Linked DNA regions of Macaca mulatta. The protein of the gene in region 2 binds, or shares a complex with, the protein of the main gene of each other region. Links are inferred from orthologs where the notes say so. Each region holds a gene or a part of one and is shown on either strand. Other genes may lie near its edges.

The links.
Region 1: the proteins of BMPR2 (region 2) and INHBB are in contact, whole or in part, in a crystal structure (PDB 7U5O), measured with the Homo sapiens proteins. The link is inferred for Macaca mulatta from reciprocal best matches to the Homo sapiens genes BMPR2 and INHBB. Residues at the interface, in NP_001195.2 of Homo sapiens: Tyr40, Tyr67, Leu69, Val80, Lys81, Trp85, Ser86, His87, Ile88, Gly89, Asp90, Gln92, Ile108, Gln109, Tyr113, Phe115; in NP_002184.2 of Homo sapiens: Phe309, Asn318, Asp319, Ile322, Ala323, Pro324, Gly326, Tyr327, Tyr328, Thr379, Met380, Ser381, Met382, Leu383, Phe385, Asp386, Asn390, Ile391, Val392, Lys393, Asp395, Ile400.

What each region holds. Positions count from the first base shown.
Region 1 is NC_133417.1:17,127,063-17,132,081, forward strand, and holds the start of INHBB (inhibin beta B chain), read right to left. Parts: upstream 3,060-5,019; 5' UTR 2,963-3,059; coding exon 2,515-2,962; intron 27-2,514; coding exon 1-26. UniProt on the Homo sapiens protein: Inhibins and activins inhibit and activate, respectively, the secretion of follitropin by the pituitary gland.
Region 2 is NC_133417.1:107,675,660-107,680,182, reverse strand, and holds part of BMPR2 (bone morphogenetic protein receptor type-2 precursor), read right to left. Parts: intron 2,964-4,523; coding exon 2,793-2,963; intron 668-2,792; coding exon 497-667; intron 1-496. UniProt on the Homo sapiens protein: On ligand binding, forms a receptor complex consisting of two type II and two type I transmembrane serine/threonine kinases.

The sequences.
Region 1 (5,019 bases), about 91 Mb from region 2:
GCGGACCCGGGAGGAGGCGAGGCCATCTGCGGAAAAGGGGAAGAGCGAGCCAAGTTAATTCAAGGGGAACACGAGGCAATGGGGGAAACGCACTCTCTGCTGCAGGATGCTGGAATGCAACTCGCCACACAGCTGGAAAACGTTATTGACCAGAAATACCGTTCTTGGGGCCAGGGCCTCTGACTGTAACCTGGGAGAGGCAGAGAAAATCATTTCCCATTGAGAAACCCGGACCAGGTTAGGGCTGGAGGGTCCGGGCCTATCAAATCCTGCCTCACCTCTCCCAGGCCAGGGCTCCCTGGAGACAGGCTGTCAGGCCTCAAAGCACAACAGAAGAACTTGTCAGGGGGCCAAGATCTTAACAAGTTGTTATGGGTATCTGTGAAATCTGAAAAACAAAACCAGGATCGCAGGGAGGATTTTGGGGTGGGTGGTTTTAGTAGGGCTTTTTCTTTTTTTCTTTTTTTTTTTTTTGGTTAACTTAGTGCATTGCAAAATCAAGCTGAGCCACCTACTGCCTCTTTCCAGTGTTTACCTAAGTATGATCTGATCCAACCCCCAGTGGAACCTCCACTGCAAACAAGCAGGCTCTGCTCAGGTTTCTGACATAGGAACGCGTGCTTTGCAGGCTGCAGAGCCTAGCCCTTATTTCCGAGTAGTTTCAAGGGACAGGACATTCAGCCTTAAAACTTGAGGTCCAATCCTTTGACAAGACTCTGGCTCCCCGTTAATGGCACGTTCAAAATCTCCAAGGAGTAGGGGAACTAGCTTGTTAATTTTCTCAATAATTCAGCTCAACAAGAAGGAGGCTGTGCCAATCAAGAGATGACTCCCCTCTCATCCTACATTTCAGTGACCCTTCCCTCTGACAATCTACGTTTTCCTTTCCTTTTTTTTTTTTTTTTTCCAGGAAGAACAAATAACGAAACTCTGTGGTCAGGGCTGGTTTTATCAAACCTCCTACCATGCCCCTCCCAAGCCCCTACACCTCAGGCCTCGCCTGGCTCCTCTAATAACACTGACATCTGACTTTGAAATGGGGGAAACTGCAGCCTTAAAAGCTGGTCTTGGACGAGCTGCCTGTGACCTGAATCTGTTATTTATAAGTCAAAGAGCTGGCTCCGTGAAACGGACCAGAAATATAACAGCCCCCGCTGTCATTTTGTGCCACCGGGACCAAAAGGCCTCCTCGACCTTCCAGAATCACATTTCTAACTCTGGGCCCCAAAGCACCTTTTAATCCGAGCCCTCTAATTGCATGGCGAGCTTTCCCTGACTCACTTTAGTGGACAGCTAAAACGGCAATGCATTTCTTTCTAAGCACAAACCAGCCCCGATTGTCTCTGCTTTTCTCCACACCCGGCCATGCAAAACTTTTCATCCCTTTTCATCCCCAGGCTGCCTGCTGCCTGGGGGGGTGGGGGGCATTTACAGCCAGGGGCACAACCGCTCCCCCCACCCAGGCTCCCCGCTTGCCCCCGCCCTGACTGCACCGGGGCTTCCCCCTCTGCGACCTTCTCCGCAGTCCCCTCGGCACAAATGGGGCCGAGCTCCAGGCACAAAAGCCAGCCTGGCTCATTCAAGTCCTGAAAAGGACAGCGGAGTCGAAAGCACTTGCAGCATTTTGGCGCGGGCACATTTTTCTTCTTCTTTTAAAGTTCCGAAAGATTTTTCTCTCCCTGATTTTTATATTTAGACAGTGTTAGAGATTTGCAATCTGGGGCCGAGTGGGGGGGTGCGGATTCCAGAAAGGAGCCATACCCTTTGTTAACTACGACTCTGCGCCTCTCGGGCGAGGGGTCTGCTGCAGCTGCCAGGCAAGCCGAAAGGCACGGGGCTGTCCCCGAGCCGCGGCTTTCTCTGTGTAAATGATGGACCTGTTGAGAAGCCTGCCTTCCGCCCGATTCCAGTGCCCACACAATCGGAAGAGAGGTTGCCTAGCTCTCCCCAGCGAGGCTTCAGCAATCCTGGCAAGCCCACGCCGCCGGTGATGGAAGCGGCCCCAGGGGCCTCTCACGCAGGCACACACACACACACACAGACACACACACAGACACACACATACTCTCTCTCTCCTCCGGCCCACGTATATCAACAAGCACACACATCTCCATCCACACTGCTGAGCCTACACTCCGATCGTGGGAAACAAAAACATTAAGCAATCACCAACCAAGTGCCCGCAGAGCCAGGGCCGCGCGCATCTGCCGGGAGGGGGACGCGCGCCCAGAGGCGCTGGGGCCCGATTCCGGAGAGCAGGGGTGGAGGGCCAGGCGCTCGGCGGCGGGGGGTTGAGGCACCAGGAAGGGGGTCTGCGGCCTGGGGGAAGAGGACTGCAACCCGGGCGGAGCGCGCAGGGCCACGGCCGAAGGAGCCCTACCGGGAGTCCGGGCTGCCCCCAGGGCGCGCGGGCTGCGGCGGCGGCGGCGGCGGCAGCAGCAGCCGGAGCTGGCAAGGAGAGGGAAAGCGGGAGCGAGCGGGGACCGCGGCAGACAGCCGGAGGACCGGACCCACCTGTCTCGGCGAAGCTGATGATTTCGGAAACGCGCTCCTGGCCGTCGGCGCCCGGGCTGGCGTGGCCGTCGAGGTGCGGGATCTCCACGCGGCCGTCCTCGCGCACCTTGCCCGCGTGCAGTTTGCGCAGGGCCGTGACCATGGCGGCCTTGGGCACGGCGTGCGTGATGTTGGGCCGGCCCCGCATCTGCAGGCGGCTCAAGATGTGCCGCTTCACCGCCTCCAGGAAGTCGCCGTCCACTCGGCCGAGCTCCTCCGGCCGCCGGAAGCCGCCGCACGACGTACAGGTGTCCTGCGAGCCACCCGGAGCTCCGGGTGGCGGGGGTGGCGGCGGCGCGGCAGGCGACGGCGGGGGCGTGGGTGAGCCCCAGGCCTCAGGCCCCAGCCAGCCGGCCGCCAGCAGCAGAAGGCAGGCGGCCCCCAGCGCCCGACCGGGCAGCCCGTCCATGGTGCGCCGCTGGCGACGAGGGCGCCCGCCGCGAGGCGAGCCGAGCCGAGCGCAGGGCCGGGCTCCGGGCTCCGGGCGCGCCGCCCCGCCCCGCCCCCGCCCGGGCCTCCGCCCGCCCGCCTGCCGGGAGGGCCGCCGCCGGCTCACAGGGGGAGGGGGCCGGCCGGGCCGCGGGGGTTCCCGCGCGGCGGGGAAGGGGCGCCGAGGGCCCCGGGGGCCCGAGGGGCGCGCCGGACGGGGCGGAGGTCGCGGGTCACTGCTGCACGGGCGTCTCGGGGCGCCTCGGCATCTGCAGCCTTCTCCCCATCCTCTCCGCGTCGGGGGCCCCGCAGCCCCGGCTCGGGTGAAGCGAAAGCAGCGGCAGTGGGAGCGGCGGTTCGGCCGGCGGCCGGGGAAGGTGGCGAAAGAGCAGGTCCACCCAACTTGGCCGAGACGGAAGCGAAGGCGCTGGAGCCCCCCGGAGCGGAGCCGGGCGCGGCTTGGCGCGGCGCTGCGGCGGGCGCTGCGGCGGGGCCCCGCGCTCGCACCTGAGCGCCTCGCCCTCACTGCCTCGCGCCGGGAAGGGCCGCCGGCGGCGGAGACGGGCAGGTCGTCCTCGCCGCGGGCCGGCGGGCAGTGGCGCGGAGCAAGCGCGGTGCCCGGGAGAGCCGGCCGCGCGGGCCCGCTCACAGGCGGCGCCGAGCCCTCGGCCGCGGGCCCTGCAGTCCTCCCGGCGCGTCACACGGCAAAGTTGTCTCCAGGCTCCCTGGGCGCCGCATCCACGGGCGGGCGGGCGGCCGCAGCGCGCTTCGCCGTGGCCTCTGCTCCGCCCGCCTCCTCGCAGCCTCCCTCCTTCCTTCCCTCCGCCTGCCTGCGCGGCCCGGCCGGGCGCGGGGCTCCGGGCGAGGAAGGCGAGGAGGAGGCAGGGCCCTTCTCGCCCCTGTCTCTTCTGCCTGCCGCGGCGGCCGCGAGGTCGGCTCGAGCGCCGAAAAGTCTCGCAGCGTCCCCGGGTGCGGTGCCCTCGCTCGCGCTCGCACTGGCACCCGCCGCAGGGCCGGGAGAGAGCGGGCGGGCGGCGGCGGCGTCCCCGCGCCGAGCCGCGGTACGGAGTGCGGAGCTCGCCGAGGAGGAGTTCTTCTCTTTGCCCTCTCTTCCTTTACTCTCCCCGTTTTTTCTCCCAAGGGGGAAAAAAGCCGCACAATCTCCGTATGTGCGCGCGCGTTGAGATAGACGTTGGCAGAAAAAAGGGGGGGAGGGAGGGTGTCGTCCTGCCCGTGCGAGAGGAGACGGTCCGTGCCTCCCCGCTCGGGCTTCCCGGGGTGGGGGGAGGAGGGGAAGGCGGAATCTGTTCAGGTTGGGGCTGCTCGCTCCCCGCGCTCACCCCCGCTTCCCACCGCTTTTTTCCTTTCTGCCTTCGCGAGAAGGAGGGGCGACCCGGCCCTCTCCCCTCCCCTCCCCTCCCCTCCCCTCCCACCCCCCGCAATGCCCGGCTACTTTTGCTACCTCGAAACTTTCCCACCACGTGGGCGCCCCGGACCCTTGCCCAGTTAGGCGGCCAGCGGCACCGACGGGCTCCGGGCGCTGGATCCGGGCGCTCCTCCCGGCCCACCGCCCCCTCCCCGCGGCCGCGCAGGCCCTGCGCCTGTCCCAGCCGCCGCCCTCCCCAACCGGCAGAGGCGACTCCCGCCGCCGTGGCCGCCCCCGGCCCTCCCGGGGCGCTCCCTCGCGGCCGAGCCTGGCGAGGCGAGGGTGGTGCGGCGCGGCCTGGGACGCTAGAGGCAGGCTCCGCCGGCGGCTGCCGCTCCCGGGCTGCAGTGCCCTCACCTAGCGCCCTGGGCCGCCGTCGCACTGGCCCAGGAGTGGGCCCTGCGGGCTGGAGGGCGGGAAGGCAGTAGCCGCTGGAGGCCTGGCCAGCAGCTGCCTCTGCTGGGCCAGGAGGAACTCCCCGATTGTGCGGTATCCCAGGCGCGCGGCCCGGAGGCCACTGAGCCTCAGGGCTTGCGGGGCTGGCAGGGTCTACAGTACCCCACCCCCACTCCCCGGCAATACCCACTTTCGCCAGCTGACAAACTTTGGCT
Region 2 (4,523 bases):
CTTGGAAGGCCTAGTGCATCTCTTTCGGATTTCAGGTGTTTGCCAGATATAATCTTACGATGCTGGAACTCTACCTCTTACTCCTACCAACCTTGAACTTTTTTTTTTTTTTTTTTTTTTTTTTTTTAGATTCACTCTTGTTGCCCAGGCTGGAGTGCAATGGCTCAATCTTGGCTCACTGCAACCTCCATCTCCCAGGTTGAAGCAATTCTCCTGTCTTAGCCTCCTGAGTAGCTGGGATTACAGGCATGTGCCACCACGCCTGGCTAATTTTTTGTATTTTTAGTAGAGATGGGATTTCACCACGTTGGCTAGGCTGGTCTCAAACTTCCAACCTCAGGTGATCTGCCCACTTCGGCCTCCCAAAGTGCTGGAATTACAGGCATGAGCCATCATGCCCGGCCTCAACCTTGAATGTTTTTTATGGTTTTTTTTTTTCTATTTTGCAAATCTTTGGAGAAAGGAAATACAAAGAAAAGTTAGTTACTTTACTTACTGAGTGGTGTTGTGTCAGGAGGTGGAAAATTCTCGGTAAAGTTGACATTACATAAATCTGTGCTACAACAGCAGAAACGGTATGTTCCATTCTGAATTGAGGGAGGAGTGGTAGTTACTACACATTCTTCATAGTGACACTCTTGGGGATCTCCAATGTGAGACCAACATCCTATAAATCAATATGAATACAAAAAAGTTAGGAGACAATACAATAAAGAAAACTAAAAGAAAAACAACAAACTAAGCAGTAATTTCAATAAATGTGAGAGTACATGTAAGCTATGAAGCAGTTTTGCAAATCAACGGGAAACACATTTTTAAGAAACAGAAAAATGGTAAAGGATACAAAAGACATTTCATGGGGGGAAAAAGGAACATGTTTAACTGCGTGATTAATCTAAGATTTATTTATTTATTTATTTGTTTGTTTATTTATTTATTTATTTATTGAGACAGAGTTTCGCTCTTGTTGTCCAGGCTAGAGTGTAATATCGCGATCTCAGCTCACTGCAATCTCCACCTCCTGGGTTCAAGCGATTCTCCTACCTTAGCCTCCCAAGTAGCTGGGATTACAGGCATGCACCACCGCCACACCTGGCTAATTTTGTATTTTTAGTAGAGATGGGGTTTCTCCACGTTGGTCAGGCCGGTCTCAAACTCCCGACCTCAGGTGATCTGCCCGCTTCGGCCTCCCAAACTGCTGGGATTACAGGTGTAAGCCACCACGCCCAGCTAAGAATTATTAAAGCAAGAGTAAGGTTTCATTTTTGTCTATACAAAGTATATTGTTCTAGGTTTAAAAAATAATATGGCTGGGCACCGTGGCTCACGCCTAGAATCCCAGCACCTTGGGAAGCCAAAGCAGGAGGATCACTTGAGCCCAGGAATTTGAGACCAGCCTGGGCAACACAGCCATACCACATCTCTACAAACAACAATTAGCTGGGCATGGTGGTGCCTGCCTGTGGTCCTACCGACTTGGGAGGATTGCTTGAGCCCAAGAGGTCGAGGTTGCAGTGAGCCATGAATGTGCCACTGCACTCTATCCTGAGCGACAGAGTGACATTCTGTCTCAAAAATAAATAAATAGATAAATAAATAAATAATATATATCAGAGAAATGATTCAGTAACACAGACACCTTCATACAGTGTTGGAGGAAATATAAATGAACAGTACAGTACTTTTAGAAAGCCACATGGAAATTTTTATACAGAGTCTTTAAAATATTGCTATATCTTATAACCTAATAATTCTACATCAAGGGATCTATTTCAAGGAAACAATCACATACAATCAATTATGTTCAAAGTTGTTCACTGAACAACCATGTTTCACTCTGCATTACAGTGAAAACATGAAAATAACATGTTTACCAATAGAATAATCTGTAAGTAAACTATGATACATATATACGATGATAGTTGTGCAAAAGTTAAAAAGGTTTTCAGAGATTCTTTAAAGACATGGAAAAAATGCTTATAATTAGGGTGGAGAAAACTGGATATGAAATTATTTATACAGTATGTTCCTAATTTTTTAAAAAGTACACGCATATAAAAACATAAAGGCATGTGGAAAATGAAGATAGATAAACTAATACAGTAAAAGTATTTTTAAATACTTTTTAAATACTGAAGAAGATAAATACAGTAAAAGTATTTTTAAAGAGTATATTATTGTAGACTTTTGTTTTCTTTATAGTTCTCTATATATTCCAAAATTCATAGAATGGGCATGTATAACATTATAAGAAAGATGTTTTTAAAATAATCCAAAAATAAACAGCCTTTTATAAATTTGGGGCTTGGAGAGAGAGAGAGAGACAGAGAGAGAGAGAGAGAGAGAGATACACACATACACACACACTTTTTTTTTCTTTGAGATGGAATCTCGCTCTGTTGCCTAGGCTGGAGTGCACTGGTGCCATCTCAGCTCACTACAACCTCCGCCTTCCAGGTTCAGTGATTCTCCTGCCTCAGCCTACTGAGTAAGTAGCTGGGACCACAGGCACACACCACCATACCCAACTAAGTTTTGTATTTTTAGTAGAGATGGGGTTTCACCATGTTATTAACCAGGCTTGTCTCCAACTCCTGGCCTCAAGGGATCCGCCCACCTCGGCCCCCCAAAGTGCTGGAATTACAGGCATGAGATACCACACCCAGCTTTATATATATACTTTTAAATTCACTGTTTTTCTGAACAGGATTTTAACGTACTCCCATGTCCTTTTTAGATAAATATCAATTGTATAAAACACAGTCATTTCAGGTAAGGAAAGTATCACTTGCCTTGTTTTACAAGATTTATGTCCCCTTTTGATTTCTCCCAAAGGCCATAGCAGGTGCTACCTTTTGAGCATAATATTGTCCCATTTTCATGAGAGATTCTACTCTCACCTATCCCAAGGTCTTGCTGATATGGATCTTTAAATGCACATAGCCGTTCTTGATTCTGCGAAGCTAAAATAAAGGAAATAAAGGAATGACAAATTATTTAATGTTTTCAAAATATTATTACATAAAATCGTTGTCTTATCTGAATGACTTTATAAATTTCCCTACTAAATTATTTGAATTGAAATCTTTAAATTTGTAATTTTACATTCAATGACGTTCTTCTGTTCATGAATTCATTTGTAAACTCCAAACAAGAAGAAAATTTTAAAACTCATTTCCCAAAAGCAATCCCCTCATACTCTTTCTTCTATTAAATAATTTTGGTGTCCAAATAAAGAAATATCATCAAAGAAAATGTCCATGTTCAAAATTACCAAGTCTTCAAAACAAACAAACCTACAAGGCTGAATAATTTTGGAAATTGCATAGTACTTACTTTTATCATATTTTATAGTAGTTATACAAAGTTATATACATCATTAGGTATGATAAACCAATGATACAAAGAGTAACTATGAATGGGTACATGGTTTCTTTTTAGGGTACATATATGTTCTAAAATTAGACTGTGGTAATTGTTGCACAAGTCTGTACATTTGCAAAAAAATACCTGAATTGTTCACTTAAATTGAGTGAACTTCAGGTATAAATTATACTTAAATAAAGCTGTTCTTAAAAACTAGGCTATTAGTAGGCAAAAAAAAAAACCAAAAACTTTTTTTTTTTTTTTTGAGACAGATTTTCACTCTTATTGCCCAGGCTGGAGTGCAATGGCGCAATCTTGCCTCACCACAACCTCCGCCTCCCGGTTCAAGCGATTCTCCTGCCTCAGCCTCCTGAGTAGCTGGCATTACGGGCATGTGCCACCATGCCTGGCTAATTTTGTATTTTTAGTAGAGATGGGATTTCTCCATGTTGGTCAGGCTGGTCCTGAACTCTCAACCTCAGATGATTCACCCAACTAGGACTCCAAAAGTGCTGGGATTACAGGCGTGAGCCACCGCGCACAACCAAAAAAATTACTTTCCATTATTCAAATTATCAATATAATAACCAGAAGACGAAATGCTCAATAGACTTATCCTAAAATGACAACCTAATGTACTTTTAATGCCAGTTTTTCTCTATACATGTAATCCGATTTAACTAATTTTTGTAGAACATTTGCCACATAATTTATCAGCTAATAAATATTTACCAACATTGCTGAGAATACTAAAGTAAAAGGTTATCGAAAGCAACATCTGATCTTTATTTCATTTCTTACAGTAGGCTTTTATAATGTGTTTGACTAGCCAAAATAATAGTCTAATACACTTGGCCAATATATTTCTTGGGGGCTTCTGACTTGTTTCTTTATTTTCAACGTGTACCTACTTAGTATGGCTTAATTCATACGCACCTTAGCACTGAGGCTGATTTATTTAAATAATGTGTCTGAACAAAACTAAGAACTAAATTCTGGAGATGAAATTAACAGTAATAAGAAAACTTAAAATTTTTGTAGATGCTGGTCTTTTATCAATAGCTTAAATATTCTAGACATGATTCATAGGATTACAACACTGAAAAGAATTGTAGTGTCAGCCGATCAATCTGTCCATTTTATAAATGATTACATAG